Linked DNA regions of Struthio camelus. The protein of the gene in region 1 interacts with the protein of each later gene in a biochemical or structural test. Links are inferred from orthologs where the notes say so. Each region holds a gene or a part of one and is shown in the gene's direction. Other genes may lie near its edges. The genes, in order: ATM, EIF4EBP1, RBBP8 and ATR.

What was found.
Region 2: of the proteins of ATM (region 1) and EIF4EBP1, one has a biochemical effect on the other in vitro, tested with the Homo sapiens proteins (2 studies listed by BioGRID, with this or other methods). The link is inferred for Struthio camelus from reciprocal best matches to the Homo sapiens genes ATM and EIF4EBP1.
Region 3: of the proteins of ATM (region 1) and RBBP8, one has a biochemical effect on the other in vitro, tested with the Homo sapiens proteins (4 studies listed by BioGRID, with this or other methods). The link is inferred for Struthio camelus from reciprocal best matches to the Homo sapiens genes ATM and RBBP8.
Region 4: of the proteins of ATM (region 1) and ATR, one has a biochemical effect on the other in vitro, tested with the Homo sapiens proteins (2 studies listed by BioGRID, with this or other methods). The link is inferred for Struthio camelus from reciprocal best matches to the Homo sapiens genes ATM and ATR.

What each region holds. Positions count from the first base shown.
Region 1 is NC_090942.1:205,615,926-205,623,414, reverse strand, and holds the start of ATM (serine-protein kinase ATM), read left to right. Parts: upstream 1-4,411; 5' UTR 4,412-4,551; intron 4,552-6,174; exon of another isoform or gene 6,175-6,303; intron 6,304-6,906; 5' UTR 6,907-6,936; coding exon 6,937-7,008; intron 7,009-7,090; coding exon 7,091-7,203; intron 7,204-7,489. Other genes in the region: protein NPAT, read right to left, coding at 811-929, 4,183-4,219.
Region 2 is NC_090968.1:7,033,204-7,040,447, forward strand, and holds the start of EIF4EBP1 (eukaryotic translation initiation factor 4E-binding protein 1), read left to right. Parts: upstream 1-4,100; 5' UTR 4,101-4,205; coding exon 4,206-4,353; intron 4,354-7,244. UniProt on the Homo sapiens protein: Repressor of translation initiation that regulates EIF4E activity by preventing its assembly into the eIF4F complex: hypophosphorylated form competes with EIF4G1/EIF4G3 and strongly binds to EIF4E, leading to repress translation.
Region 3 is NC_090943.1:120,909,465-120,917,526, forward strand, and holds the start of RBBP8 (DNA endonuclease RBBP8), read left to right. Parts: upstream 1-4,888; 5' UTR 4,889-5,063; intron 5,064-8,062. UniProt on the Homo sapiens protein: Endonuclease that cooperates with the MRE11-RAD50-NBN (MRN) complex in DNA-end resection, the first step of double-strand break (DSB) repair through the homologous recombination (HR) pathway.
Region 4 is NC_090950.1:15,508,445-15,516,439, reverse strand, and holds the start of ATR (serine/threonine-protein kinase ATR), read left to right. Parts: upstream 1-4,953; 5' UTR 4,954-5,066; coding exon 5,067-5,125; intron 5,126-6,810; coding exon 6,811-6,902; intron 6,903-7,352; coding exon 7,353-7,496; intron 7,497-7,995. UniProt on the Homo sapiens protein: Serine/threonine protein kinase which activates checkpoint signaling upon genotoxic stresses such as ionizing radiation (IR), ultraviolet light (UV), or DNA replication stalling, thereby acting as a DNA damage sensor.

The sequences.
Region 1 (7,489 bases):
CGATCACTGATCTCAGAAGAGTTCCACACACTTTCAATATTGTGGACAAAATCCCAGACTACATGATTGAGTGGTACGTTAGAAGAATGGAATGCAAAACGGGAAGAAGATACACATACAAATATCAAAAGTTTGATATATAGCAATATCCAAAACCTATAATTTTGTTACTAACTAAAAAAATCTCAGGTCATATATGCTGAAAGTGCAAAGCATCAAGTTGTCCTGTAGTTATATGCACCTATCTACGTACGCAGCTGCACGTTGTATTTATACCCATGCCCAAAGTTCCACGTTTCATCTGGCACAAAGCAGATCATACTGATTAAAGGGGAAGCTGAATCAAAACATAGCTGTTTTCACCAATTTTTGACACGCTCAAATAAAGCTGAGGCACCTTACCTAAATTAGTATTTACATGAAAGAGAACATTACCGACTGCTGTATCTAAAAAAAAAGGAAGTGATCTTCAATAAATCACTAGAGCAATCCTGAAATCAATTAAAATGCTTGGAACACCCTTGTATATATCAATCTTGAAAACAATGAAGCAGACTAAATGTAACATGCTGAACACAATTGGCATATTTTCCTCTTAACTATTTATTAGTAATGTTAAATATTGAAAGATGCTGAGAAATAGAGATGACCATCAAACTAAACAGCTTAAGCACCATTTGAGAAGCAACTGTTACACTGTTCATATGTATTCTGAAAAAAACTCTGAAAACTCTTTTTGGGGGGAAAAAAAGGCTTCTCTTCCGCGGCTGTAACACAATTTAACTTGCTGTGTTACAAATACAAACTCACCAGCAAGCAGGCCGGAATAAACCCATCCTCTGTACAGTGCTCTGCATATTCTTTCAAATCTGAGCTTTCCAAAATAAATTCACGGCAGGTAGCTAAAAGCTTTTCCTGTTGTAAATACCCTGCAATAAATCAGACAGAAGACTTTGCTATTTTATTCATTATTTCTGCATGTTGTGCTTGGTAGGTATTGAAGCATTAATACGACCAACTATATGATATAACGTTGGAACAATTAGATAAGGATTCATGCATTAGATAAGGAAACTGAAGTCATTATGAAAGAACACCTATCTTGCAACGTATTCCTTTAATAGTTAAAACCAGAAAGAGCACATATTATTAACATTGTACTGGATTTACAAACTGTTCAAGACTAGAAGTGAGACAATATGAACAATTTCTGACTGATCGTTAGTACACATAGCACTGTACAGACAAGAAAGAAAATATCAACTTCTTAAGTCAGGAATAAACTCACACATGGGTTTTGATTATAAACATCTAGTTTTATAAACAAATAGAATTCTATAGTACTGTATTAATAAAATGCATTGCTGTGCAGCAATAACTCTCCATAAATTCTCCAGCTTCAGAACAGGTAGAACATATGCATCGTTAAGACAGCGCATTAGATTTCTTCCAAAAATGACATTATATAAAAATTATTTTTACAAAATCAGTATTTTGTTTTTCTACTTACCGTAATTTTCATTTTTAATAGGTATTCTAGTGTACACTTGTACACTTTATATACCCTACCCCAAGACTCAGTAGTTATCTTACCAGGAACTATACTGAAAAAGTTCACTTTTTCAAAATCCCAGTCCTCAGTTAATATGCTCTTTTAAGGTATTTTAAATCCCGCTTTAATCTTCAAATAGTCTAAACGCTAAAAGGTAAAGCTAGATCAATCTGAGTAAAGGATTACAGAACAAAAGAGCCATAAAACAAAATATCGTGCCTTTTCTTTCTTATCTGTAGCAGAACTGCATACGCAATCGTTTAAAGAGTTAAAATACACATACCTAATCATATTCACACAGAACCCCAAAACAGCCTGCCTCAGTTCAGGAAAGTCCATAGAAAAATCCTGCCTTTAAGTTCACATGAAGACATAATATCTTTTATCAGATCCAAGCATAGCTAGAAAAAGTAGATCAGCTTTCACACTCACAGGCCTCCGACAAATAAACTTCAAAGTTAAACACAGTTTGAGAATAACTGCTGAGAGTTTCATTAGGATGTACGAGCTAGCCCATATGGGACAAAATGTAGTTGGCACCTGCGGAATAGAGAGGGCTGCCATATTTAATGTTTCAAATACATTTTGTTAGAAAATCCTCAAACCACAAATTGCTAGAAGCTGAGGGCACACTGGGGGAAATACACCTACATGCCAGTCTTATGCCTGTCTGCTGTACCATCCATTGCTGACCAGTATTACAGACAGGGCATTAAGCTAGATGGGAGTTCGACTGTAAGAACAGCCATACCAGCACAGATCAAACCCATCTTCTGGATCTTTGCTAAAAAACAGTTGCAATTTCTTTCTTGAGCCTCCTATTGCGAAGGATGACTGAATGCCAGCACACAGGCCTATTTGGCACATACATCAATTTCCTGCAGATAACGGCGACTGAACTTAAATTGTCTGTGCACGTACATTACAATAACAGAATCATATACAACCTTCAACATTACCAAAAACAAGTTAGAGGCACAAAAGGAAGAGTGCCTGCTGAACTAGAAAGTATTCAACATTTTGTTCTATCTTAATATATGTGAAGACCTATGGTCTACCTTACAGTACTCATTCACTCTTTACCTAGAAAACGATAAATTTGCTTATGCCTTTTTCTACAGGCAAGCTCATCTTACCATTTTAGTTCTGTTTCTTAAATCAATACTCATCAACACTCACAGCACCAAAAAGACTTTGCTAGAGAAAAACAAAAAAAAAAAAAGGAAGAGGAACTGCGCTAGGAAGCCTGTTGATCTGCTCAGAATTCAGATGCCTCAGAGAGGAGCAATCGCTATTAGAAGACAAAAATAACTGTTAAGAATATCCTGTTCTACAATCTTGGGTTGCTCAGAGATTTTCTAGGACTACTGCATGCACTACGCCACAACAGACGCAAGATAGGACGGAGCATCCTCAATACACGCGAAACGTTCAAAATTTTTATTCTATCTACAAGTCTCTACGCAGCACGTGAGATAAACTGTTTACTAAGAAACTTACAACTTAACCAAAATTTTATCGAAAAGTATAGCAAGTAAATGGCCAAAAAGAGATATCCCGCGCCAAATTGTAAGTGTTCTTTTACAATGCACAGAATTTGAAAAAAATCCTATTACTTTGCAATAATAAAAACAATGTTTCTGTTGTTACGCTCAGTTCTCGAAAAGCAACAACAAACGTTTCAGGTAGCGTTTAAAAATAAATAGAACTGCAGACAGACGAAAGAAAAGATTCAGCCTCACTGGTTTTTGACTGGCAAAATCTGCCCAGGCTGTCTGTGCACCTGAAAACAGCATCTTGCTATGAAAACTGCCAGGAAATCTTAGCGACCTGGACCAGTACCTGCTGACAGCGTACCTATTACATATAGGGGTCCTACTTCCAATCCACGGCCACTTGCTCTCATCTTTGGCTGTGACCAAACATTGCAAGCGTAAAGTCTTTTTAGCAGTTTATCCTCCCTGCTGTCAAGGTCCTGAAAACACTTGTTTTATGCTTCCCACGGACGCAGCGCGCACCACAGAAGGGAGTTCTCGATCTGACCTCGCGGCTCACGGAAACAGGGAAAGAAAAACCAGCTGAACCCTCACCTGTTCTCATCTGGCCTCTTGGACCACCGGGATTGGTGCTGAGAGCAGAGGCTCCCCCCAGTCTCGCCCACCAGCCCCCGCCCGCACAAGGAGGCGGCAGAGCCCACCGGCCTTCCCGGGAGTCACCTCAGCGCCGCTCCCGGGCGGCTCCCGACGCAGCACCCGCCCGAGCACAACGTGGCGCCTCCACCTGCCCCGCCGCTGCCTTCGCGGGGGCCGAAAGCCGCCGGCGAACCGGCCGCGCTCCCCGCTAAAAGCGGGGCCCAAGGCCGCCCGACCGCCCCGGGGCGGCCCAGGCACTGCGCCTCGCCGCGGACACGGGTGACATCCCCGGCGGCGGGCGGCCACGGCCCGGCGCCGGCCGAGGCTCAAGGGCGCAGCGGCTGCCTCCGCGCGCCTGCCGCCCCGAGCGCCCTGTCAGCGGCCGGCGGAGCCCCCTCCTCGCTTCTCCTCGCCTCTCCCCTCCCCTCGCCCTGCGCGGCCGCGGTCGCGGCCGCCTCCGCGGGCCCGGCGGTGCCCGCCCCGCCCGCGCGCACTCACCCAGCACCAGCCGGGCCACGTCGGACGGCAGCAGCATGACCCGCGGCGCGGAGGGGCAGGCGGCGCGGGCGCGGCGAACGCGGCCCCCCGAGGCGCGGCGCGGCCGCCCCGCCACCCAGGGCAAGGCGCGGAAACTCCGCCAGCCAGCGCCCCGCCCGGCCCCTTCCGCCGGAACCCGCCGCCGCGCATCCGCTTCCAGGTCCGCCGCTGCCGCCGCCCACACGTGCGCTGCGCTGCGCTCCTCTCCTCTCCTCTCCTCTCCTCTCCTCGCCCGCCGCCGCCGCCGCGAGGGGGGCGCGCGCCGCCGCCGGCCGTTAAGCCGCCGCCGCGCGCCCGCGCTGCGCTGCGCTCCCCTGACGCCGCTCAGAGGTGGGCCTGCTCCTGCCCGTCCGTGCCCTCCCGATGCCTGCCCCCGCCCCGGCTGAGGGGCTGCTCGAGGCGCGGTCCCCGCGCGGGTGCTGAGGGGCGGCCCGCGCGGCGGGTGGCGGGCGGCGGGGAGGCAGCGGGCGGCGGCGGCGGCCCGGCGCTCGCCTGGCGGCGGGCTGGGGTGGTCGGCTGTGGTTACCCGCGAGGTGGCGGTTGGGCCGCTGTAGCGTAGCTCGGTGAGGAGCGCTCGGTGCGTGTCTGCTGTTTTTAAAGGGCTCCTTCCTTGTCCCACTTGTCCCAGGTATTTTTTTTTTTTTTTGAAAGGGGATGAGTGCCGTCATGATTTGGTAGTTGGCGACTGGGCTGCAAAGAGAAACGGCAAGTGCGTACAGTGTTAGGAACTTGTCACTGTTGTTGTCATGGTAGTTAAAATACCTTTAAATGCCAGTAAAAGAAGACGCGGCCCTCTTTCTTCTTGAGCCCCAGTCCCTACAACATACAACCCCGTGTTGCCACAGTTCTCAGTCAACCCTTAATTTTTCATCCCATCAATGTTTTAGAAGCCTTTAGCATGTGAAATGTTGTTTCTTGCTTTCGGTTATTTTCGGCATAAGTAGCAAGTTAGTAGAGGAATGCTTCCTTGCTTAACTGAGCTTAGTTGTACGCCAGAGCAGGCCTTTCAAGCTTGCCATAGGTTCCTTTTCCTCAATACCTAACTAGCCACCATCCCTTTCTGGTCATGTTTACTCAGCTCCATTTCCGTGTTGACTGTCTCCATCCATCTTAGCTGCTAGCTGCCACTACTACATGGTGGTGCCTTAACGTTGTGTTTCACGGTTGTCTTGAGTTCTCAGTTCTGGTCACCTTTAAGACACAGATTTACAAGGAAGAGAACAGGAAGGTGGGCACATGAATATGTGACAGGAAAAAGGCCATTCAAGTCGTGATGTTCCCATAAATCCTAGCACTGTGATAAGATGGAAAGATGATCTTAGGGGATTAAAGACAGAGGTTCGAACTCTTCTAGAGGAACAAGAGCTCTCAATATTCAGAGTTTTATGCACAGGACTATCTGTCAAGTTTGACCTTTTGTCAAAGAACGTGCTCAGTATTTTTTTTTCCTGTGATGCGCTGTATAGATGGCATAAACGTCAAACATTTGAAATCTGCTGTTTTGTTTTTGCTTTGGGAAGGGTATATGTCAGGGACCCCTGCCCCTGGTTATTCCACAGATTGGTCAACTCTTCTGTCCTTTTTCTCCTCACCTCGGTTTTTAATGCGGTCAAAGTAATCACGTGGATTATAAAGCAGTCAAAATAATTTGCTATTAAAATGTGGTTTCCAGACATATATGAAGAAACCCATTTGTCTCAGCGTGATCTCTGTTGAATCCAAAGAAGATGAAAGCAAGATGATGTTTGTATAAGACGGTAGATCTTTAAAGTTTTAACTGCCTTATTCAGCTAAATGGTTATTTATATATTCTTACTTAAGTGTTCCGGGGCCAGTGATGTGCATCATGTATGCCAGTTCTCAGCTTCATACTGCAGCTTCAGCAGCATATGCTTGGTGTTACTTCCAGCATGTCCATCTCTGTTTTTCAGATAAGAGTTTGTCCTGAGGCTAGTTTAAGGGAAAGGGTACAAGGAGAAGCATGGACGCTGCATACAATTTCATTGTCATGATCTGCGTCAACATAATTTTCTGGAAACCAGAAATGTAAGGTTGATCTGATTCGGACGTATGTTAAAAGAGGTAGGGCATAATCTTAAGTAGTAATAGAAGCAAAAAAGTATTTTTCTCCTGTCGTTGATATTTGAGCATCTTGTGGTATTTGGAGTCCAGAGGCATTTGTAAATATAATGGTGCATAGCTGTATAATAGAGAAGGTTAGAGTGGAAGAAAGTTTTATTTTCAAAGAGCTGCCTTTTCCTCATCAGGTTAAAAGTGCTTCTGATAACTGCTATGTCCTGAAAGTTAGTGCTGTTTGCCTGATTAAAATGACATAGAGCCGAGTGTGTTCTCATTACCGTTCATGTTTCAGTCTGTATTGTCTCATCGACTCTCTGCTCTTTCATTAGCCTTAAAAAGAAGGAAGTCAGTCATGTGAAAGGACCCTTTTCTGTTTTTGTCCACAACTACTGCTCTTCGGAATAGATTGCATTCTTGACATGACACTTTCTACTTCTGTCTTGTGAGCAATAGCACCAACCCAGAGAGGAATGAGCTTTTGAGTGAAGTAAAGCTGTTGTATTTGACATGGAAATGCAATATATTGAAAATTCAAAATTTTGAACTGATTGACTTGGCTCTGTGTTAAATAAAATAATTTATTTCATCCTTTTTTTCTGTTTGCAGATGCAAATGACTGTCCTGTTAAACTGAACCATGAGTCTTGTGTTACATGATCTGCTCGTTTGTTGCCGTCACCTTGAGAATGATAAAGCTACAGAGCGAAGGGTAATAAGGTTTCTTCTGGTATATATCATTCTCAATGAAGGGAATGATTAATAACCTTTTTTTTCCTGAAATACATTTTCAGAAAGAAATTGAAAATTTCAAGCGACTGCTCCGTGATTCTGAAACAGTTCTCCAACTGGACCGGAATTCTGATTCTAAACAAGCAAAGCAACTCAGCTGGGATGCTGTATTTGGGTAGGTTCTTTTACTGTCCAGAGCAAAGCATTTTTCTTCTTTTTTTTTTTTTTTTGGTGAAAGGTCATGTTTCTTGCATGGAACATCACTATTTTGTTTATCAGGCTTATTTAAATGCTTATCTTCCTGCGGATTGATTGAGGCTTCTTGTCAGTCAAGAAATGACTTATGTTACTCTCTAAAAGAAATAAATCTAAAATAGCCAAATAATGCATCAATCATCTGAGTACAACACTTTCCACTTACAGAAGATGCAGGGGCACACAGCACGTTGTAAATGTACAAA
Region 2 (7,244 bases), on another chromosome or scaffold:
GGGGTCAGCGTGCACCAAGGGGACGACGTGGCTGCTGTGCACCACTGATGCACCACTGGTGCGTGGCTGCGTGACCACTGTGCACCGAGGGGATGACAGCCACCGCTGTGCACCGAGGGGACAACAGCCACTGTGCACCGAGGGGCCTGGGGCCACCGGGCCCCGACGGGACGACGGCGGCTGCGGCGCGCGCCGAGGCGGGCAGGGCCGGGGCGGCGGGCGCTTCCCGCAGGATGGGGTTGTTTACGGGGCCGCGTTTATCTGCGCAGGCAGCTCCGGGGCGGCGGCGGGACGCGCGTTTGCCGTTATCTGCGGCAGCCATCGAGGGCGCGTAAACACGGCGGCGGAAGCGCTCGGCGCCCTGCCATCGCCCCGGCCCGGCCGCCCGCAGCTCGGCTTCCCTGGCAAATCACGCCGTATGGCTGCACGCGTATACACGCAGCTGTGCAAATGTACGTTTAAAAATATAAATATACAAATATCCAAATGCAAATATACAAATATCCAAACATAAATATATAAATAAATGATCAAATGCAAGCATATAAATATCCAAATATAAACACATAAACAAAGACTAAAATAAAGCATTTAAAGCTAAGCACCTAAAAGCACGCACAGCAATATTTGGCGACTGGCGAGAGGCGCTGCCCAGGCCCCGTAAGGCGGATGGCCGCCGCCGGGCGCCTGCTCCCGGCCGTTCGCCTAAAGCTGTTTCAATCAGCCGGTTCAGCAGCGAAGGCGCTCACGCTGCCGGGGCCGCGCGGAGGCAGGCAGGAGGGGCCGTGCCGGCAGTGCCCACGAAAGCGCCCGCCGGCTCCCCGAGGTCATTTTTTATTAAATCTGGGGCTATCTGGGGATCTCCTGCCGGCAGAAGAGCCCGGGCCGGGCGGCAGCGGGGGGGCGGCGGGGTTTCCCGCGCCCCAGGGAGCCCTTCCCTCCCTGGGCCGCCAGCCGCTGCGCGTCCCCCGAGCGGACGGGGAGAAGGGAGAAGCGCCCGGGTCCGCCTACATCGCATCCGCCGTTTCTGCCCTGCTCTCCCGGCCCCCTAAAACCGGCACCTCCGGCCGGCCCCGGCCGCCAGCACCCCGGGGACGCTGTGAAGGTGCCGCGGTCCCCGTGCTTCTCCCCCTCCAAAACCTGCCGCCAGAGCCCTTTTCTCGGTGCCGGTTTTGTGCTGTCTCCCCGTTTTGCGCTGACCCACCCAGAAACGCCCTATTGCCCAACGCCGGATTACACGACGTCTCCCGTCGCCCGCAGAAACATCGCTGATTTATTGCCCGGGGCTGCTTGTTCCCCGGCCCCGGGGCCAGGTGGTTTCCCTTTCTTCCGTCCCTCTCTTTTTTATCCCCAGCCCGCGTGGGAAATGAGAGACGGAGATGAATGAAGAGGAAAGGCCATTGTTAGGGCTCGGGGCCGCGCGTTCCCGGCCCGCTCGCCCGGTGCCAGCCCGTTTCGGGGGACGTCTCTCCAGCAACAGAGATTTTATCGGCGCCGTCCAGGAAGGACGTTGCTGGCAGCCCAGGATAGCGTCGCCTTCCCCAAGCACGGCCTGGAGCTTTCCGAAGCGCGGGGAACGCAGCAGAGCAGCTACATCCTCGGTTCGCAGCGAGCGCGAGCTCTCTGGCGCTGCCCGGCTCTGCCCACGGCCCTTCCAGCGCTTCCTTGAGCTCCCGCCGCCTAAATGCTATTTTTAAACCTCTCTGATAGATTTCTGCATGCATTTTTCATGCATGCGGCCTGGAAAAGCTGTGTCTTCACAGGCCGGAGAGGGCCGGGTTTTCGCACGGCCAGGACCCAGCGACGGCTGGCTTTCAGCAGGTGCCAGCGCCCGTCTCGCTGAGAGCCGGACAGTCGGAAGGGCCTTGCCGGAAGCCCTGCGCCCCAGGGGCCTTTCAGCAGGGCTGGGGGGGCACAGCTCCTGCGCGGCTCCTTGGGATAAACCTGCCCCTGCCCAGACAGGCTTTCGGGAGCAGGCAGGTAACGACGACGTTCCCCCGTCTGCCGGCTCGCAGCCGGGTAGGACGCCCGCCGGGGGGGCTTCCCGCCGCCCCCGAGCGCCCACCAGGGCTTTCTCCGCGTTGGCTGCTGCAGCCCGTCCTGCCCCGCTCCGGCGCCGTCCGTGCGGGCGTCCCCCGGGAGCGCCGGCCAGAGGCATCCGTCGGGCCGGGATTCAGCATCCCGGCCAGGATGTGCCCTTGGAGCCTGACCTGCCCCGGCTCCTTGACCCCTTAATGGGCTATTCACCGCCCAAAGGAGGAGGAGGAGGAGGAGGAGGAAAGGGCCGGGCCGGGCTATTCCAGAGCGAGCGGGCTCGCCGGGCTGGGGGGCAGCGCTGATGTCAGCCCACGCCGCCGGATGTGTGGCTTTCCTGCCCCGGCTCCCGGTAATCGAACCAGCAGCTGGCCCGGCGGGAAGGGCCCCCGGCCGGCGGCGGGCGAGGGGCTGCGGCTGCGGCGCTCTGTCTCGGCCCGTTCCCACGGGGGGTCCCGCGCCCGGCGAGGGGGACGGAGGAGGGACCGCTGCAGCGAGGGCTATCGCGGGGCGCGGGGCCGGTTCGGCGGCGTCCGGCCGCGGCCCTGCACCAGGCTCTGGCGCACGGGAGCCCAGCTCCATCCGTCGGGCCCGGCACCGTCCTCGGGGTTCGCCAGGGTTTTCCGAGAGGTGCTTTGCGCAGGCAGGATGCTGCCTGAGGACGGGAAAACGGTGCAGCCTTCCCGTTCTCCTCGGCCATCAGCAGGTGTCAGCATCGGCCCGGAGCAGCCGGCGCCGGCACTGGGATGCTCCCGGCTCTCTGGCCTCCGGGATGCTCCCAGCTCTCCGGGATGCTCCCGGCTCTCCCACCTCCGGGATGCTCCCGGCTCTCCAGGATGCTCCCGGCTCTCCCACCTCCGGGATGCTCCCGGCTCTCCGGGATGCTCCCGGCTCTCCCACCTCCGGGATGCTCCCGGCTCTCCCACCTCCGGGATGCTCCCAGCTCTCCGGGATGCTCCCAGCTCTCCGGGATGCTCCCGGCTCTCCAGGATGCTCCCAGCTCTCCGGGATGCTCCCGGCTCTCCAGGATGCTCCCGGCTCTCCCACCTCCGGGATGCTCCCGGCTCTCCCACCTCCGGGATGCTCCCAGCTCTCCGGGATGCTCCCAGCTCTCCGGGATGCTCCCGGCTCTCCCACCTCCGGGATGCTCCCGGCTCTCCGGGATGCTCCCGGCTCTCCTGCCTCGGCCTCCTTGCTTTGCAAACACCATTCATGTCCCAGCTCACATGTAACACACCCGTTTGTCAGGCTTCCCGGTGCGGTAACGAACGCCGCGTTACGCACCCTCCAGGGAGCCCCCGGGTCCTGGCGGGCCTCATGCCGGCGCCCCGGAGGGGGAACGAAGCGCAGGGGGCGGTGGGCTGCAGACGGGCCGGCAGGAGGCTCTGCCGGTGGCCTCGAGCCGCGGTGGGCCCGGGGAAGAGCCCTTTGGGACGGGGCCCGGCACCCTGCGGCCCCCCCGCCGCGGGGCTGGGACATCTGCGGCCACCCTGGGCGGGCTGTCCCATGGGGCGGGCTGGGGTCACAGCCGGGGGACGGCCCCGGGGACAGCAGGGGCTGTGCCCCCCACGGGGGTCAGGGTGGGGGGCAGCAGGGGGCATCGAGGGGGAGCAGGGCAGAGGGCAATGGGCTGGGGGCACCCATGGGGAGCAGAGAGCACCCACGGGGGAACAAGGGCTGGGGGCACCCATGGGGGGAGCAGGGGGCTGGGGGCACCCCACAGGGGGAGTAGGGTCCAGGTGCACCCACGGGGAAGCAGGGGTTCAGTGAAGCCACGGGGGAGCAGGGGCTGGGGGCACCCACGGGGGACCAGGGGCTGGGTGCACCTACGGGGGAGCAGGGTCGGTGCACCCACGGGGGGAGCAGGGGGCCCGGGTGCCCCCCCAGGGCCGTGCCGGGTCCGGGCGCTGCACGTGGACCCGCGGGACTGAGGGGCGGGGCGAGGGGAGGGTCCCCGCGAGGCGTGGCCGCGGCGGCCCCGCCCCCGGCGCTTCGGCCCCGCCCCCGGCGCTTCGGCCCCGCCCCCGGCGGTCTTTTCCCGGCGTGCCGCGCGGCGGAAGGGACGTGCGCGCGGCGGAAGGGGCGGGACGAGGCGGGGCAGGGCGCGGCCGGCCCCAGGCGCGGCGGCGGCGGCGGCAGGAGCAGCCCCCCCCCCCCCCGGGCCCGTCGCCATGTCGGGCCGCTGCTGCCCGGGGCAGACGCCGAGCCGCGACATCCCGGGCCCCGGCAAGCGCCTCCCGCTGCCCGACGGCGCCGCGCTGCCGCCCGGCGCCTACAGCACCACGCCGGGGGGCACCGTCTTCGGGACCACGCCGGGCGGTAGGGCCGCGGCCGGGCCCTGGGGCACCGCGGGGCTGGCGGCCTGTTCGGGGGGGCGGTGGGCTCGCTTCTCGTGAGGGGCCGGGGATCCTGGGAGCGGGGGGGGGGGGTTCACTTCCCTGGGGGGAGATTGGGGGGGAGGCCCTTGCCCGAGCACGGGGTCGTGGGGGGCTTTTTCCTCGGTGAGGAGGGTTTTAGGGGGGCTTTTTTCCCAGCGGAGAGGATATGGGGAGCCTCTCACTTCGATGGGGGGATGTTTGGAGGGGGAGCCCCTTTGGTGAAGGGTATGGGGGCTGGGGGGGCCCTTGCCTGAGCACGGGGTCGTGGGGGGCTTTTTCCCTAGCAGAGAGGATATGGGGGAGCTCTTGCCCTGACATGGAGCCCTGGTTTGGGGGGGGGAACCTCTCACCTCGTTGGGGAGGGTATAGGGGCCCTCTTGCCCTGCTGGGGGGAAGTTGGGGGAGGGGAGAGTTGTGGGGAGGGGATGGTTATAGGGGGCCTCTTGTTCTTTTGGGCAGTATGGAGGGGTGTATGGAGAGCCCTTGCCCTAGTGCAAGGGGGTACAGGGATATGTGGGGGGTTCTTGCCCTGCTGGGTTGTTATGGAGGGAGCTTTTACCCCAATGTGGGGGCTCTTGCCCCAATGTGGGGGGTAGGTACAGGGGTATGTGAGGGGGCTCTTGCCCTGCTGGGATGTTATGGGGGTGGGGCTCTTGCCCCAATGTAGGGGGGAAAGAAGGGGATGTGTGGGCTCTTGCCCTGATGTGGGGACATAGGGGGTGTTATGGGGGGACTCTTGCCCTGTCAGGGCACTCTGATTTGCAGGTGGTCTGTGGGGAGTGGCCCTTTTTGGGCAGGAGGGTCTCTGGGGGTGCCCAGGCCTTCTTGTTTTGTCTTGTTTTGGCTTAGCAGTGGGAGCTCTCATTTTGGCAGGGGGCCCCGGAGCCCTGTGTGTTGGTGGGGGGACCTAGTGCAGGGTCTTCCCCCCCCCAGTTCCTGGACTGGGGCTGGCTCAGTGGGCCAGCACAGCTGGGCTGATCCCTGAGGAGCAGGCTGGATGCAGCTGAGTGGGGGGCTCTTCTGAGGGGCAACCGTGGGGTGGGGGTTACTGTTTGCCATCCCACCCCATCTCACCTGGCAGCCTCACAGAAAGCTGCAGGAGGGGGTGCCACGTGAGGAAGTGTGGGGTGCCCAGGGGTCTGGGAGTTTGGCCTCTGCTGGCTGCTGCACCATCAAAGAGAACAAGGGAGCCAGCAGGATTTTACACTTTCAAAAATGAAAAGGAATCCTGATACTGCTGCAGTGAAATAGCATCCACCTGTGTGTCTGCCTTGATAAACAAGGCTGTTTTTTGTGAGTAGCCTTGTAGGGAGTAGAGTCATTCTCCAATTTGGGTTACTTATTAATTCTAATCTCTGATATTTGTGGTTTCTTCTGGCAATGATTAAGTACAGCCTGGTGCCTTGTGGAATTTTTTTGCTCCTCTGGAGTGCTGTGCCTCTCTTTCTGAAAATGCTATGCTCCTCTACTGCAAAAAATAAGTGAATTTTCTCCCTCTTTCATTGCTACAAGTCATCTTGTGCAGCCCCCCTAGTTGTGTTGTGTGTGATTACTAGGAATGGTGTCCTTCAGGGATCTGCATCTTCAGTCATTTGTAGCTAACTGAGAATAAACTGATTCTGAAAACTAGCCCATGTTTGCCCTCTGTTCAGAAGGCAAGTGCAGTGGAAGTACAAGAGCTGTAAACTTAGTGTTTATCTAATGTGCTATATGCTATATCTAATGTGGTTTTTTATCTCAGTATACTAGAGAAAGAACATAATGTGCAAAATTTTCTAAAGGGCCTACCCATCTCAAAGAGTTTGTGTCAGCACAGCCTCCTTGAATTTCTTGTTTAGTTTGTGTAGTTTGTCTCTTGTGAGACAAGTGACTGTTGTTCCAGATGATGACACTGTGCCCCAAATCAGCTGTGGGTATTTCTGACTCTGACAGCTGTCCGAGTCCCCTGCTGAGCAGTGGTTCGAGATCACTTTTTCCATACATTTGAAAATTTTCTCCCTGTGCTGCTACATAAAAGATCAGTGCAAACAGCAGGAATAATGAAGCTCACTGTACTTGAGTTTGTCAAAGGAGCAAACTAAATGGAAGGCAGTAGATGTCACTTTGCTAAACTTTCTGACCTACTGATCTTTATAGCCTATAATATTTTGTGGGCTGAAAAAATTCAGGAAGAAGAGGGAAGTCAACATTGCTGACTCATTTCTTTTTTGAGTTTATGCAGAAAAGTTTGGGGAACTGAAGCTAGTGTTATTTTTGACACATGCTTTTTCTCTGAAAGCAGCAACTAGCTGAAATTCTTAAGTAGGACTTGCAGCAATTGTCATGAAAGGAGAATTAGAGTTAATGCTTCCCAGCTGTATTCATGTGCTCTAAGTAACAGAATAGAAGTTGAACACTTGCACTGCTCTGTAGCATAATGAGAGCCTCCAGGATTATCATCTGTTTGTCTGTGTTGGAAATGGTTAATGAATGTCTAGAGTGTGAAGTAGAAATATGGATTGTGTTTGTTGTTAGGGTGTGCACATCTGGCAAAATCCACAGAGCTCTCGTGACTCTCTTGGTACGTTTAGTCCCTCCTCAACCTATATGAAGACAACTCACTCTTCTAAGGCCCAACTGCAGGCTCTGCCTTCAGGTCAGATGTGGAATGACTATTGTTGAAAGGAGGTACGATGAAAATCCCAGAGAACGCTAGCCTCTAGGTTGCTAGTCTTCCTTCACTTTTAGCATTGTAAAGAATTCCTTCTTCTGCGTAGTCTGGAAGAGCTCTTGGGGGAATAAATATCTGTACCTTTCAGAAGTTTAGACCCATGCTAACATACTCTGCATGTT
Region 3 (8,062 bases), on another chromosome or scaffold:
GGTATTGGAAGAGAAAATGCTAGAAGAAACTGCTGAACTGAAGTAACAGAGCACAAGGATGGTTGGGTTTCTCTTGATGTTCTGAATTCTGAAGAAGCTTAATAACCAAGTGGCATTTCAAGTTGCTAACAAAAGGATATTTTCTCACTAATATCAAGTTTCAAACCAAAAAGATATTTTCTCACTAATATCAAATATTTCTCACTAATACTCAAAGAACAAGAGAGCAACAAACATATATTCTTCTAAAAAGAGACCTAATGCGTAATCCTGAGACATTTTAGTTAGTCTTTCTTCAGTAACAGCGTGATTTAAACTATAATTAAATTTAGCAATTCAAAGCACAAAGAGAAACTTAATATGCTAGGAGGTTCCTGCAATGGAAAACTGTAACTCCTCATTAAAACTATTTGGTATACTAGCAAAACAGCAGATAAATGAGAAGAGGTTGATAATTTACTTGGATTTTCTAAAGTCTTTGACAAAGGACTGCAGAAGAGGCTCTAAGTACAAGCTAAATCACCATGAGATGGGAAAGTAGTTCTCATGTTTAAAAAAAGTGAGGAGGTAGAAAACAAAATGGAGAAATAAAATATCTCATTTCAGCATGGGAAAAGCTAACTGTGAGGTCCCTGATATAGGGGATATATAGGCAGCATGTTTCTTTATATAGTGTTATCCGAAAAAGGAGGTAAATAGTATAAAAGTATTTACTAATCAGGTTGAAAAAAACAGATATCTGATGTTCTGGATCCTGATTTATGATTTTGATAAGAAATACTCATTTTCCTGTAGAGATTAATCTCCAGAAAAAAAAAGGCAAAGTGCTCCTAAATATCTACAGGAGGATTAGCTGGAATGCTGCAGAATAGTAATTCAGACCTGGTCAAATACAGATGATAGACAAGAAGAAAATCCAATTAAAAGAGATGCTGATACCTCAGGCTGTGGCAGACTTTTTTGCAATAAGCACTAACCGAACACTCTTACATAAAGATTGCTGGAAAATATTGTTTTTAAGGATCTCTTCTTTGAATTACACAAAATTGGAGGTTCTAGCTATTTATGCAGTCTCATTCCAGAGTAACAATTCCAATCTAATGGTTTGAAGAGCTTCTGCTACTTTCTTTTTGTATTTCCTTTTTTTCTTCCTCCTCTCTGACAGCTGAAAGGAATGCTGGAATTTCCTAGGAATTAATTCTTTTCTCACAACAATTCCCTCGCAACATTCCTGTAGCGCAATAGCCCATGGGGAGACCTCGGTACACCCAAAAGTTCACAAAACTGATTTCCTCTCTTGAATGACTGAACTGCACCAACTGTTAAAAACAGAGGAGAAAGAGCCAGATAGACACCCAGGAAAGAAAAAAAAAAAAGCATTTTAAGTCTTTTTCCTTTCAGGGTAAAATAGCCAAGTCTTTATATTATAAAGTTTGCTCTTGTAGTGAGACTAGTGATAGTTCTCTTGTTGTAATCCTTTTTTGATGCTCTGCCAATGCCCAGCCCTTCAGTCTCAGCTTAGGTAAAACTTGAGAAATTGTCATCAGCAGCAAATTAGTAGCAACAAATTCTAAACCTGTTCTTGCAAAGAAAAGAATCAAAAAATGCTTTAGCTTGCATCCTTTGACTCACCTCAAGGCATCTTTCTCTAGGTAGCCTCTAGGCCAGAGATGAAGTACTACCTCCTCTACTCAAAGTAGGACTTGGCCTATTTTTCAAGTTGCTCTTCATGAACCAACAGTCTCACTGTCCTTAACGCTGCTACACAACCAGTCAAGAGGAGGGAGATATTACCTAACTCTGATAGGGGTGTGGGGCATGTGTGTTATCTGAATTTGTTTCTGAAAGTACTGAGCAGCTTTTGATAGTTACAGGGAGGTATGCTGTAAACTCTCTGTAATGAATACTTGTAGACATGAATGTTTGTGCATACCTTTACTATAAGGACAAGTCAAAGCCTGCACCATTTAGATCGTCTTACTTTTCAGAATTGCACATCTCTGAGCCTCTTCCCTTCAAGATTTTATGTGAACATTGTATAAATTAGAAGACTTTACAGAGAGGCATTATGTAACTTTTATTGACTGAAGCTGGAGTTGATAATTTATAATTTATTTTATTTTCAATTGGAAAAGCATTGAATAATAGGTTTAATTTGAAAGAGCATTTATCTATAGTATCACCTTATTGCAAATTATACCTGAAATAAGAGAGGGTTTGGATTTCTGTACTTCAGATAATTATACTGCCTTCCTGAGGAGGAAAAACAATCTCTGTCACAGAGAATTCTGAGCAAGTCTGACACTGTAACATTCATTACTGTGGTATATGTATTTTTAGAACTGCCAAACATTACAAGGCTGAGAATAACAGTTAAGTGATGTTTATCCAGCAGCGCACTTATACATACAACGGCCTTGTTCTCCTACACCTTTGCTCTTGTACTTCCGAAAAATTAAATTTCTATAATGTGTGGAAGTGAATGTAAAAGCTTAATTTAAGACCTCTACACCTCAACCCTGCCAGCAACCTTATATGAGAAGTCCATACGGAATGTGTAATGAGCATGGTTTGGGTTGGGGGAGCAAGAGGCTGGAGCGGGGGAAAGGTGTTCAAATTTTCCTTTAAGCTACCAAATCAAAGGAAGAGATAGTAAAGATCTCTTATCCCCACACTCCTCAGACTCTAGCAAGCAGTTAAATAACAAGCCCAGGGTGTTTTAAAAGCCAACTATTAGACTCACTGTGTGGCTCCAGGTTTAATCTAGAGAGAGAGTATCAAGAAATCTGCCTTTTATTCTGTCCATTTAAAAACAGTAAAAATGTACTTTCCTCAGTCTTCATGTTGTTGCCATGAGTTCAGCATACAGGAGCAAAATTTCGAAGACAGTATCTTTTATGAGACTAGCTGACATGGCTGGGAGGAGTAGACAAGCTTTCAAGCACATCAGCCCTTCTTTAGTCTGCTACGCAAGCAGCACCTTCTCTACGTTGTATGTCATTTATCAGCTGTTTTGGTTTGTGATTTACCTACATCAATGAGCTAGGCAATTCCAATTATGCAACACTCAAAAAGAAATTGAAGGCAGTGTTTCCAGACAAACTATATTCACATTGGACAAGGATTTACAGTTCAAAATGTGTTGTCTATGGAAAGGGTTTTGGAGTCTTTAATCAAATCCATTTTAGGACACCAAATCTATGACATGTCCAGAACCCAGTGTCTCCATCACATTTGGCTTTGACGCTCAGTTATTTAGTACAGCACACTGAATCACCAAAGCCACTTCCTGCAACGGACTTTCTTGTAAATCTCTTATCCAAGTACTGACCAAGCCCAGCCCTGCTTAGCTGTATGAAATCATAGCCTAAGGTGGTGTATGTGCAAGCACAAACAGTATACATCTGTCATTTCAGCTCAGTTAGTAATCCAGTTGCCTTCTTTAGAATTAAGCCTTCCACTAAAGGCCAACATAAAATATAATCTTACAAGAAATGTTACTTTCCTGTAGTAAAATAGTCTGAATACAGCATACGCAGATATTAGTGTTTCTTCTGTTAGCTTTTCTGGTCAATGATGAAAAACCACTCATTATGTTGCACAAGGCTGGTTAAAGTGGACGCTAAGTTCCTGTTCTGACCACTAGTCATCTAGTAGCTATTATTAAAATGGATAAATAAGACATGAAGATCAAAAGAAGGATAGATGATACCACAGTGGGATTGCTTAACGAACAAACACAACTTTCTAAAGTTAGTCAGTCTTAGACAATACTGAACGGAGCTAATCTTTTCTAAGCCTGAGTGTTTAAATTTAGGTGGCTAAATAAAAGCTAAAGGAACCTAAGCATAGATTTAGCAGGCTAGTTTTATGCACTTTTCCAAAAGTGCTAAACATCCACAGCTCCTACTGATTTTAGTCAATAACCCCAACAATCACAGCATGAGAGCTGAAAATTATGGTCTATATTTGTATTTGAAAGAAAGCAGTAAGTTTATACAGATGCAGGATTCTGTTGGGGCAGAGATCCTGATCTCTGTCTACACCTTGAATAAATATGCTATAGGCAGGACTGATGTGCAAGTATTCTTGCCCCCCAGACATGAGTAAGAAGCAGCGCAGCTGCTGCTGCAACCCATGTGCTAGGGCAGCTGCTGTATCCTTCACAGGAGGAGAGCACTGCTTCACAAGCAGTTCATGGTTATGGAAGCATGTCCCGTATACTCCATATTCTCTGACCCGTTTCACGTTCAAATATCCTGTGTGGTAATGCAGTAATGCCGGGCAAGATTACACTGGCTGTCTCCCCACATGTAACAAAGCTATGCGATATCCTATACACAGGGTATTCTCTCACACTTATAGGAGGACTGGCACTTAATTTTTCTCTTAGCTAATTGCACTAAACATTTGGGGTTATCTGATTTTAAGAAGTCTGCATGATTAGTGATATATAAAAAAAGACATTTTTTGTTCCCATTTCCCTCTGCATTTATGCTGAGCAAGACCTCTAGCCCAGTGCATCTGCATATAAAATGAAAGAAAGCTTATAACAATAAGATCTTGCTATACTTAACAAGGATATATCACTCCCCCACCCCTTGGTAAATTATTTTGCTGGAGGCTACATCATTCTATCTGAGTAGTATGTTGAGAGTTGACAAAGGCATGAATAATTCACCGCGTATGAAGCCTTCCTTGAGCTGAGCTGAGCTGAGCTGCAGCATGTTGGGCTGGCCTTTGATGCAGACTGGTTGGGCAGGTTCCCGGGCGCCCGGGGAACCGGTCTGACAGGCCTGTTATGCCAACAAATTCTGGTATGATTCCATGCTCTCCAGAATGCAGAAACCTGCCCAGCCAGTTAAATGAAAGGCATATTAGGTTATCCATTGCACATTGTATATATCTTAGGTGCAGCAGATCTCCTCTCGGCACTCTCTAGTGTGGTCCACAGTGGCTTCCTCATCTTACTTACACTTGAGGTTTATAGCTGGAGGGGAAGTCAATAGTAAATATTTATCACCCCGATCAAGAACAGAACTTTTCACAATTCAAACAGAAGGGTGAGTTTTGAAAGTCTTTCTTTAAAATTAACTTAAGATAAACTAAAGCAAAAATTTTATTCTATGCTTGAAGTGGGAGAATGGCTATCTCCTTAATGTGTCTGGGTACTGCCAGCCTCTGTGGCGCTTGTTGACATTTTTGCGACTGCAGCTTTTGACCATTCTGCACGCAGCTCAACATCATCTGCTCTGTCTTCAAGAATATTTACTGGAGAGACAGTTTAATGAACTCAGCACAGGAGTGTGAGATGGAAACTCCACTGCCAATGACTTAGTATTTTGAGTTGGTCAGTTAAGTTAGCTTATCCTTCTCGGTCTTCTCTTTTATAGTGTTTTTTATAATCCCATAATAGCACTGCTGTGAAAAAGCACAGTGCCATTACAGTAATATGTGTGATAACTAATACTTGCTGGACCAACATTTTTTTTTTTAATTGTGTAGTTTTATGGAGTGGGTTAACTAAACTCGATTTACATTTTCAAAATTGACTTAACAGCAATATAGGAAATGTATTTGTCATTCTTAACTGCTTTCTTTCTATATATTTATTAGAAACTTCCTGTTTAGAATGTAATAAGTAACGGTGGTAGCAATTATAATAAAAAAGAGTCTTAATCCAAAAGAGCAGGCAGCCCTGAAAGTTGTACCTGGATCTGCAACTGAAACCATTCACAGGTACAGTGTCAAAAAAGAAAAATTAAACAGTGTGAAAACAAAAGCTGTGGAATCTGGTAACTGATTAACTACTGCAGCACAGAAGTACTTGCTGAGCTGAATAGAAAGGAATGAAGACAGGTTTTGTCATGCCTGTTAGGACAAAATAACTCTTTAACTGAAGTAAATCTGAATCTTCTCACCCTCTGTGTAACTACGTTCTTGAAAACTCATATAGCCGCTTCCATCTCCCTGGAAATGTTATTTTAGTCTCTCTTTAAGTGACACAATCACAGTTCTCTTTCATGAGGTAAAAAAATAATTCCTGCCCTAGTGGACATAAACCACTAGATACGTGTAGATATATGCAAGATTATGTAAGAATTTATGGAAGTCACACAACAGGAAGCTTCAATTATGGAGGTGTTTACTGCCTGCTATTTCCAGGTTGATGCAAAAATGAACATTATTATTCTTTTGTAGATTGCCAATAAAAAGGCCTCCTGAGCAGCTTAAAAAAATGAATGAGAGACTGAAATGACCTTCTTGCTGGCTGCACTTTATCTGTTAGTTAAAACCGTTCTTCAAAGTGTAAAAGAATGGAAAACAACACAGGGGAAGTCTTGCGCTCTCACAGAGGCTAAAAATATGCATCAGGAAAAAGCATTTAATTCTTAGCATCTCTGTTGATTTTACTATCAAATATGGGATTAAAATTTACTTAGACTAAGGAATACACCATTCTCAAAAGGAAAAACTGTAAGTGGCTGAACTGTATGGTTTGACCAGGGACACTCTGTAGAGACCATAAAATGCTCCGAGAGAGCTCTCTTTGCTAAAGCTATAGAATTGGAACACTGTACAATTTTTAAAATTCAAATGAAATACATCATTTTTTAAAATACTGCTTGCCACCCTCTGCCTTAGCAATTTTTGTGCTCCATTTTATTTGGGTTCTTGCCTGATTGCTTTTTCTTTGGGGCAGAGGCCATTGTTTAGGGATTTTTTTCCCCAAAAGGTAAAGGTAAGTAAAATACCATTTCCCAACTGCTATTCTGTTTTGCTTGTTCTCCCGTTCTGAATTCTTGTCGCTCGCTATAGCAAGAAGTAGGTGGCATGATATACAGATGTGCAAATTTTTACTTCAGTCTTCCAAGCCTGAAATAGACTTCCAAGGCTAATATAAATAGGCATAACTACTCAGCCTATTCATATAAACCCAAGTAATATTGGTAAGAGCAAACCATTTCAGTCTGTAGCTAACATAAACAGGCGCTGCTCCTTAGAATCTACCGTCCTTGGAGGACCAGGAACGCTACACTGAAGTCCTGAAACAGCATCCCTCGGGTTGCTTTTTTCCCCTCCATCAAGCCTCTCTAAAGGACCTGAGAGTTCCAGCCAAGCAAATCCCAGCTGTTTCAGACTACAGATGAGGAGCGGTGTAAGCACTTCAAAGAAAAGGGTTCCTTACAGTGAACAATGTTATTGGCATCAGGGAATTTGCCCTTGGCTTGAGTTCAAAAGTGGCTATGCAAGTTGCTTGAGAAGACTCAAATTCAACTCGTGGGGGTGATGGAGTAGCTCCTCCCTATTCTTCCGGAAAAAGCAAATGCTATCAGTGCCAGACAGATTGTGTGCTGTGTGCTCTCCCAGTTTTAAGAAATGATACCATTCAGAGGACTGCCACTTTCTACACTCCTAGTTGAAATTCCACGTAGGTAGCTGCTGAAACGTGTTGCATGCTCTCACTCACTACATATGAAGCTGGGCTCATGTGATGTCCTTAGTGGCAGCTACAACATGAAGTTCATGAAATGAACATTCCTAGAGATTAATCAATATATTTATCTCTCAATGCAGATCCTGCATGACAGGGAGGTTGTGAACACACTGGCATGTACATATATGTGCAATCTGCTATATGTTATGTGAATAAATAAGGGTTTCACTATTACATATATATGCAGGAAAAGAGCAATTTATTTATCATTGTGTAAGTACAATGATAATTGCCATTCAAAGCTGGCTTTAATCTTCGCATCTAAATTTAAGGTAGTAGCAGCAAAAAAATTCAAGCTATCCACTATTCTCTTTTAAAGCTACTTTGTTTGTACTTACCGTTATCTGACTGGTTAGAAACACTAATGCAGCCTCTGCGCTACCAAAAAAAAGGGGGGGGGGTTATTTTATCTGTGCAACACTGCAGTACTCTTACAAAATAAATTCAATCAGTAGCTGATTTGCTAGCAAATGGTCCAGTCGCCAAGAAGGTATTACCATTAAACTGTAACTGACAGTCAACAGCTTCATATACTACTAGTAAGGCTAAACGTTTTAGGCATTA
Region 4 (7,995 bases), on another chromosome or scaffold:
GTGTGAAGCTTTTCACATGTCCCGGTGAACTCTACGAAAATATTTTCTTTAATTAGCTAGCGCTAGGGAGGCCACTAACGTCACAGACTTAGACTTTATATGAGCATTAAAGGATAAGGATATGGGTACAACCTTTTTAGTTTAGACATTTTCCTATCATGTGCTGCAAAGGTGATATCCATCCCATTGATACAAATCCCTTGGAGTAGTAGAAGTCTTAAATACTGGGAAAACACACACAAAAAAAACCATACCCTACTGGGAAAATAATGCTACAACATGCATACATTGGCTTAATTTATTTGGCTTCTAACAAAGGCAATAGAAGGACAAAAACCTGTGACTACCCTTTCTCCTTCCATTTCATCGGTTTCTACAGTGAGCCACGGAAAGAAAATTAGAGAACTCTCGCATTTAGCAATAGCCTGGACATCTTTTATCAATATTACCAAGCCTAAACTCTATTCTAGTCTTGAGCAGTGTGAAACATAGAATCAGATAGAAAATTATTTCTCCTCTCATGAAAGCTTTATAGGAAAACAACAAATTTTTACTATGAAAATAGCTAGCACAGTTATTCGGATTTTAAGAATTTGTTCTTAATAAAAAGAAGAACCTTTGTAATTAAAACAGCTAGAACTTTCAAACAAATTTAGTTTAAATGACATTTTAAATTAAAACACTGCACAGTTTTCTCCTGCCATGACTAGCACAGAGTTTTGCGTGAGCCTATGAAACCACGCAAACATTTTTCCCAAGGAGTCATTATTGTCAATCACATTCCCTAGTTATGGAATACTTTTTTTAATCAGCATTTAAAATTTTGAAAGTTTTGCCTTAAGGAAGTAGATTCCAAGCATCTTAGTTTTATTCCAGAATTATCAACTCAGGAAAGTCTTGACTTTGTAACACTAGTCCCGGTAATAAATAAATTCCTATGAGTTTACTCCAAAGCTGCTAACCTGAAGAGTAATATTCTTCTACTAGAAAGCAAAAACCATAAATAACAGAGATATATATACAGGCAACTACTTTTTATCAGTAGCGTCTGTGCATAAGCAAAAAACAGTGGCTGCTACTATACAAATAATAATGCCAGGTTCCCAAAGAACATATAATCTAACACACTATCTCTCTGAATTACTCAAATGTTTAATTTTACTTCATGAATAGTCTTAAGTACGTAAGCAGGATTATTCATATTAAAAATATGTGGATAAGTGTTTGCAAGACTAGGACCTATGTGGATAACATAGAGTGAAAGGGGGTGTTAAAAAACAGTTTTATATATTTTCTTTCTTTCCTCACTTTTGTCCCCTCTTTCACCTGTCAGTTTTTGCCTAGTGGTTGAATTTATATATTCCTGCTTTCAGGATGCCAGCTGGTGAATGGCCCTTACTGACATTTACTATTTCAACTTTTCACTATTCTTTTTTTTTTTTTTTTTTTTTTTTTAAAATCATCAAACCAATATTCCGGACTGAATATTATTTTGACTTGTGCCTCTTCCCTCTAGCCAAGTTGACTAGGCGACACAGGCATAGACAAAAACATAGCCTTCCGGAATATACGTTTTTATGGTGTACAGGAACAATTCAACACGTTCAAAGGTCAGTCAACTACTCTGACAAGCACTTTCATGACTATATATGGAAATAAGTTTTCAAGTAATCATACAGACCATTGGGTATTATTACAGCAACCATGCAAGTGAAAAACCATAAGCACACCTTGATATTACATAAAACCACTTAGTACAGTTCAGAGGAGCTCACTGCACCATCTTGGCTGAACTTCCTCTGACCACCGTATCAGCCTGTACAATGTTTGTATTTCACGGTTCATGAAGACATCAAGAAATACACAGGTGCCTTTAGGTCATCGTAAATCACTTGTGTCTACTGACAAGGGACAGCTGAGATTTAACTGCAGTCTTATTAACAGGCACCATCTCTCACACATCCACGCAGTGGATGAGCCCCAAGAAGAACAGTACGTTCACCTCTATCTTTGAATTAAATTGCAACAGAATGAATAAAAGCAGAATCAACATGCCTTTGTGTGTAGGACCTGCTGGCCCAAAGCAAAGTCACTCTGTGTTACTCAGTGTGAGTATGAAACTTAAGTGAGTGCCCTGGGAAGGTACGTGGAAAAAAAAAAAAACAACCAATGCCAAAGAAGATGCAGGCCTAGGTGTGGGAGAATCATGCAAGAAGTGAGAGGACTGTTCAAGTTGGCGGGGGGGGGGGAGGGAGGGGAAGAAATTTTTAGCAGATATCTTGACACTACTGTACACACTGCATTTGATACCTAGCTCTAACTCCCTGCATGAATTTTCCTGAGTTTTGTAAGCTGGGAGTTCTGCACACCTATTTCACCAATATGGATCTGCACTGGAAAAGAAGATACAAAACAGTCTCAAGGCACACTAATTTCTTTAGTCATGAGGCACGCTCTCCAGATGGATGATAATACATCTCCCCCTCCTACTGAGGACACAGAGACATATAAAGTATAAAATAATGAGATGAGGGAGAAACAAGACGGAGGTGAATTGAAATTTTACTGAGCTTCTTATTGTGTGTTCAAGAAAAGCAAGGGGCAAAGCTAGGTGTTTTTGGTTTTGTGAGTGCCCATAAAAATATTTTAAGGTGAGCATCGAGAAGACATCGTTTATCTTCACAGCACAAACACTGTGAACCTGGGACAATGCAGTTGTCATTAGGGGCACTAGAGAGTCCTGTTAAGACCAAGGTAACAGGAAGAACATGATGATATGGTCAGAAGGCAGCACATGAGGCTTTGTCACTGGGAGAGAACAGAGGCTCCTGGCCTCACTACCACTGAGGGGTAGGGAGCAGGAGACACCTCTTTAGTGAATTGCTGGGAGTATTTACTACAAAAAAGCCTGAATTACACGTTTGAAGTAACTGCAACATAAATTTCTATAGAATTCTACCTATGCCAAATGAAAGTGTTTCTGCAATAGCTATATTAGCATGAGCTCACTGTTGAATTGGGAGACTTCCAGGCAAAAGTACTTATTTGTTGTTGTCAAGCACTTTGTCTGCCCCATTTATTCTTTATAAACAAAAAAACATCTCTCTATGCTTCAATAAATTTATTGTATTTCTTAGGATTAAAAGCTGAAGAATATGTATGTATTCTACTCCAAATCTTCTTAGGAAAGATAGCTAAATATCTGTTGGGATCCCAAGTTTATCAGGGATGACACCGAGACTTCCATTCTACTTCAAATTAGCAAGTAGTGCAATTTACACTTTCTATGCAGTGATTGCTGTCTCAGAATTGGCAGTTTACACTCAGATTGTTGTTCTAACAAGAAGTATATATTTTTATTTAAATTGTGTAGAAACTTCTCTGTTCAAAATAAAATTGACAACAAAACCCAGACGTACCTTGTCTTCCTGTATCATTGAAATTCTACTTAAGAAAACGTGTAAACCGTTTTCGCTCCTGGGAATGAATCTCAAAAGGCCAATATTTTACAGTCAGCTGGTAGAGAAAATTGCAAGAAGCGTTGAAAAATTTAAGATGAAACTCAATTATTTTTTGCAACGTTTCTTGAAACATTCTCATTCCTTCCTATGTTAGCAACCAGGGTACTCTTTGATCTTTGAAAGATCAGCAAAACTTTGTATGAAACCGTATACAGGTATTTTGTAGGATGAAAATAACCAGGTGTAGCTGAAAAAGTTAATTAGCAATAGGTTCCCTAAAAGCATGCACCTGCAATGAATCAGTAACAGCAACACACAGATGCATCCACTTCATTTCCTGGGCTGTTTTACATGCAAAAGATATAGGCACAGTGCAGTGGAAACAGGCAACAGAATTACAAGCCTCTGAGAGGATTTTATTTCAGCCCAGAAACAATGCTAAGCAGTTCAGAAACAAATGCAGAAAGTATTATGCTTCTGAATCAGAAAAGCAAAGCTCAGACTTCAATTTGCCCTTAAGTACTCTTCCTGCTACTAGTATCTACACACAAGAACGCTTTTTGTATCCTCTCACGTTCCGAGGTCTCACAGACTTGCTGCGTGGGCAGGGCTCCCACGTATGGGCCATACAGTGACAATCACCATTACATCCCAGGACTGCTACTAAAGCACGCATTTAATTTTTCCTGTAGCGTAAGAAAGCAGGCTACTTTAAGTACATTGCACAACGCTTTTAGGGTTTTTCTTTAAAGCATTTATGCGTTCAAATACCTTTGTCCCCTCAAAAGAACACGAACGGAAAGTAACGCACACTGACAAATAAAAAATAACCACTATATTTTAAATATCCTTCCTGCTGCTAGCTACGCGGAGCGGCACAGAGCCGGCGGGCGCCAAGACCCCGCACGGCCAGGCTGCGCCCTCCCTCCCGCCTCGTCCCGTCCCGTCCCACCCCCCAGGCCCGGCGCCGGGCCCCAAACCCCGGGCCAGGCACCGGTACCGGCACCGGCAGCCGCTCCCTACCTGCTGCTCCTGCTGCCGCGTCCCCGCCGCCACCTGCCGCCGCCGGGGCGGGGCGGGGCGGCAGCGCCCAGGGCCAACGCCGGGGCGGGCTGCGGCGGCGCCGTTTCCCGTGACCCGATAAAACAGTCTCGCCGTTGGCGGAATTAGCAGCCGCGGGTGCGGGCGGGCGGGGCAGGCGGCCGTTGGCGGCGGGGCCTCCGCCCGAGGGGCACCGAGGTTCCCTCCTCAGCGCCCCTGTGACAGGCTCCACTCATGGCTGGCGGTATTCCTCCCCCCCCCCCCCCCGCTGTACGCTTGCCCCCTTTCTGTTTTTACCACTTTGAGCGCTGCGACGGCGAGGAGCGCCCTGCTGCCCTCCCCTGAGAGGCCGCTAAAAACCTGACCTGACCCCCTTCCCCCCCCCACCCCCCCCCGCGGGGCTTTCTGCTGGTGACGAAGCGGTTAAAATTTCAGCCGCGCGAGGGAGGAGGGGCAGCGGGCAGAGAACCGGCCCGCACGAGAACGGCGGTGTTCTGAGCCCTACCGGCCGCCGTCCGCCGGGTGCCGCCGCCGCGCCGCGCCGCGCGTTTCAAAGCGGGAGCCATGGCCGAGCAGGGCCTGGAGATGGCCTCCATGATCCCGGCCCTGCGGGAGCTGGCCAGGTAGGGCGCGCCCGGCCCCGCAGCCGCGTCCGCCGGCCCCTCCTAGGCGGGAGGGCTTGGGGGGAGCGGGTGGCTGTGGGGAAGTGGAGAAAGTAGGTTCTTTCCCCACCGCCGAGGGAGGCCTCGCGGGGCCGGGCCTGCCCCGACCCGACCCCTCAGCCCGGGGTGCAGCCGGGCGGGTGGGCCCCGTTGGGCTGCCCGGGCGTAGCGCCCGGCCTCCTGGGGAGGGCTGTTCTGTTGTGCTTCCAGCGGGGTTTCGCTGAGAATTGAAAGACCTTAAAGCATCTGTTAGTCCTCTCTAGCGTGCTTTGCGCTACTCGATTAGACGCCTTACTAGTTTAAAGCTCCTCTAGTCAGAACTGCATCTGGAAGTTGTAAATTGTAATCGTCATTCGCTGCTGCTCAGTTAGAAGAGTTGAAAGTGAGATGTTAAACGTCCGTGTTTGAGGCATGCACTCCAGAAGGTCCCTCGGGATGATGGCATGACTGGAACAGCCTTCTTTGTTCCATTTGTTCCTTCATTTTTTTTTAAGCTATGGAAAACTCCTTTCTGCAGTACCTGAATGTCTTACATTCCCTTTAGTGCAGTAGTTGAGTGCTTTATAACAACCACATAAAGCAAAAGAGTAGCATGAGCACCGGTTGTGCAGATGCCAAAACGGACTCCATCTTTATGTCAGGGAGGGGGGAGATTGTGGCAGAGTTGGAACTTGGATCCCTTGCTTCTTGAGGTAATGCCCTGATCAAAGGTGTTCTTGACCTTTTGTGGCTGGTTGGTTAAACATGTGTACAGAGAACATCTTGGTTTGTTGTCGTTCAGGTTACAGGAAAGATAGCCTACTTAAATAGGTGGATGTCTGAGTTTTCTGTAAGCCTGCTGCAATCCAGTCTGCAGCCTTCACTGAAGCAATCCAAACTGTGCTTTGCAAGTGTCCCTATCCTAGCTGCGATCTTCATTGCATCAGGGGAAGTGAACCTACTTAACCCTGAGACTACAGTTATTTGCTACACATGCCCTCACACATCAAAAATTGCTCTTGTCCAGCTCAGTTCATTAAAGCTGCAAACACTAAACTGGCATACAAGCTTTTCACAATTGGGGCCTGTATCAGGGCCATCTATACAGAGATCAATGTTTGGCTCTAAAGTGGTAATGGCAGCAATCTGCAAAGCTAAAAAACTGTAGCTGTGATTGTGGTAGGCAACTAATGGCTGTGGAGATACAAGTGTATGCTGAAGATTTGACCTGGCAGCGTCAGCTGGTATCTTAGTTGTCAGAGCTGCTGCAGTCGATACCTCTTACCTTGCGTACTGACAGCTAGTCAGCTGAATAATTTTGGCAACTCTAAAATTAAAATAGGTTCCTAATTTTATTTTTCTGTACCAAAACTGTTCTGTTGCTTTGGAGTAGTGTGTATAAATCCCTTAATGAGTCGGAGATAGATTTAATATATATCAAGCATAACTGCATAGCCAAAAATTTAATGATCTTCAGCACATCATAAAACTTCATTCTTTTGAAAAATGAGGAAAAAGAGAAGCAGACAATATATTGGTCACTGAAAAGGGGAATCAATTTGTATTTCTCTTTGAAGTCTTCTAGAAGTAAAAAGTACCACTTTCAGTGTTTAACACTGTGTTGCTGAGATACACTTTAAATAGTTATTTTGTATTTTTAATTTTAGTGCTAATCCAGAAGAATACAATTCCGTTGTGCAGAAACCGAGGCAAATACTCTGCCAGTTCATTGACAGAATTCTTACAGATGTAGATGTTGGTAAGCATTGCACCTCTTGCTTTTAAAATGATCATCTGTTTTGGGTTGTTGTTGTTTTTTCCTTTATGTAATTCCTGCTAAAAATAAGTTATATATGAGTTACAATTTCAACAAAAATTTAATAGCTGAATGACTATTATGACTTACTTAAAATAATCTATACGATAAAGTCTTTGCTGATGTGATATGAAGTAATGTGAGTCAAATGTATAACTGTTAGAAGAAGTAACTATGTGAAGTGCAGAGGCGTATGAGTATATATGCTCACAACATTAAAAATCTTGTGCTTTGCAAATTTATAAAGCACTCCTAACTGATAACTCTACAGATTTAATACCACATAATAATATTTTATGTAATAATTTTCTTCTTTCCCTGTTAAGTATGAACAAAATCTGTGAAGTTGCTGTGTCATGGTACTAATTCAGAAATCTGCCTTTCTTTTTTCAGTTGCTTTGGAGCTTATTAAGAAATCTGATTCACAGCCAAGTTCTGTAATGCTGCTTGATTTTATTCAACATATCATGAAATCTTCCCCTCTTATGTTTGTAAACATGGATGGAAATCAGGAGGAAACTGAATGCAGTTGCATTGGTGAGTTGGTTGAAAAATTTTATGTTGAAATTTGGTATTTACGTGATTTAAATTTTCTGCCCGTGGATCATGCAAATCTCCCTTTTCCCCGTTTTTGTTCTCTTGCAAGTTCAGCACTTCATGTTTATAAGTTAATCTTACGATATCCTTTTATAACTGTAAATTGATTTGCACTTGTGATAATGGAAACTTGTCGAGATATATACCAGGACAGAGTCTGACCTTATTCATTACTGTTGTGTAGTCATTAAGATACTGTCCAGTTCCTGTTGGAAAGGAACCCATAGTCATCCTGAACCCATAGTCATTTCCTAAGTCTTTTTTAAATATGCGGAAAATGTAGATGAAATGATACTTAGCCTGAAATCTTTTTGTTGTTGTTGTTGTGCCCTTTTTTTCCCCCACTTTCCCTCTTCTTCAAAGAGGTTTCCTGTCTCTGTGAAGGCATTCTGTTTATCAAGCCTAGATGCCTTTATCGCAAGGAGATTTATGGTTTTAG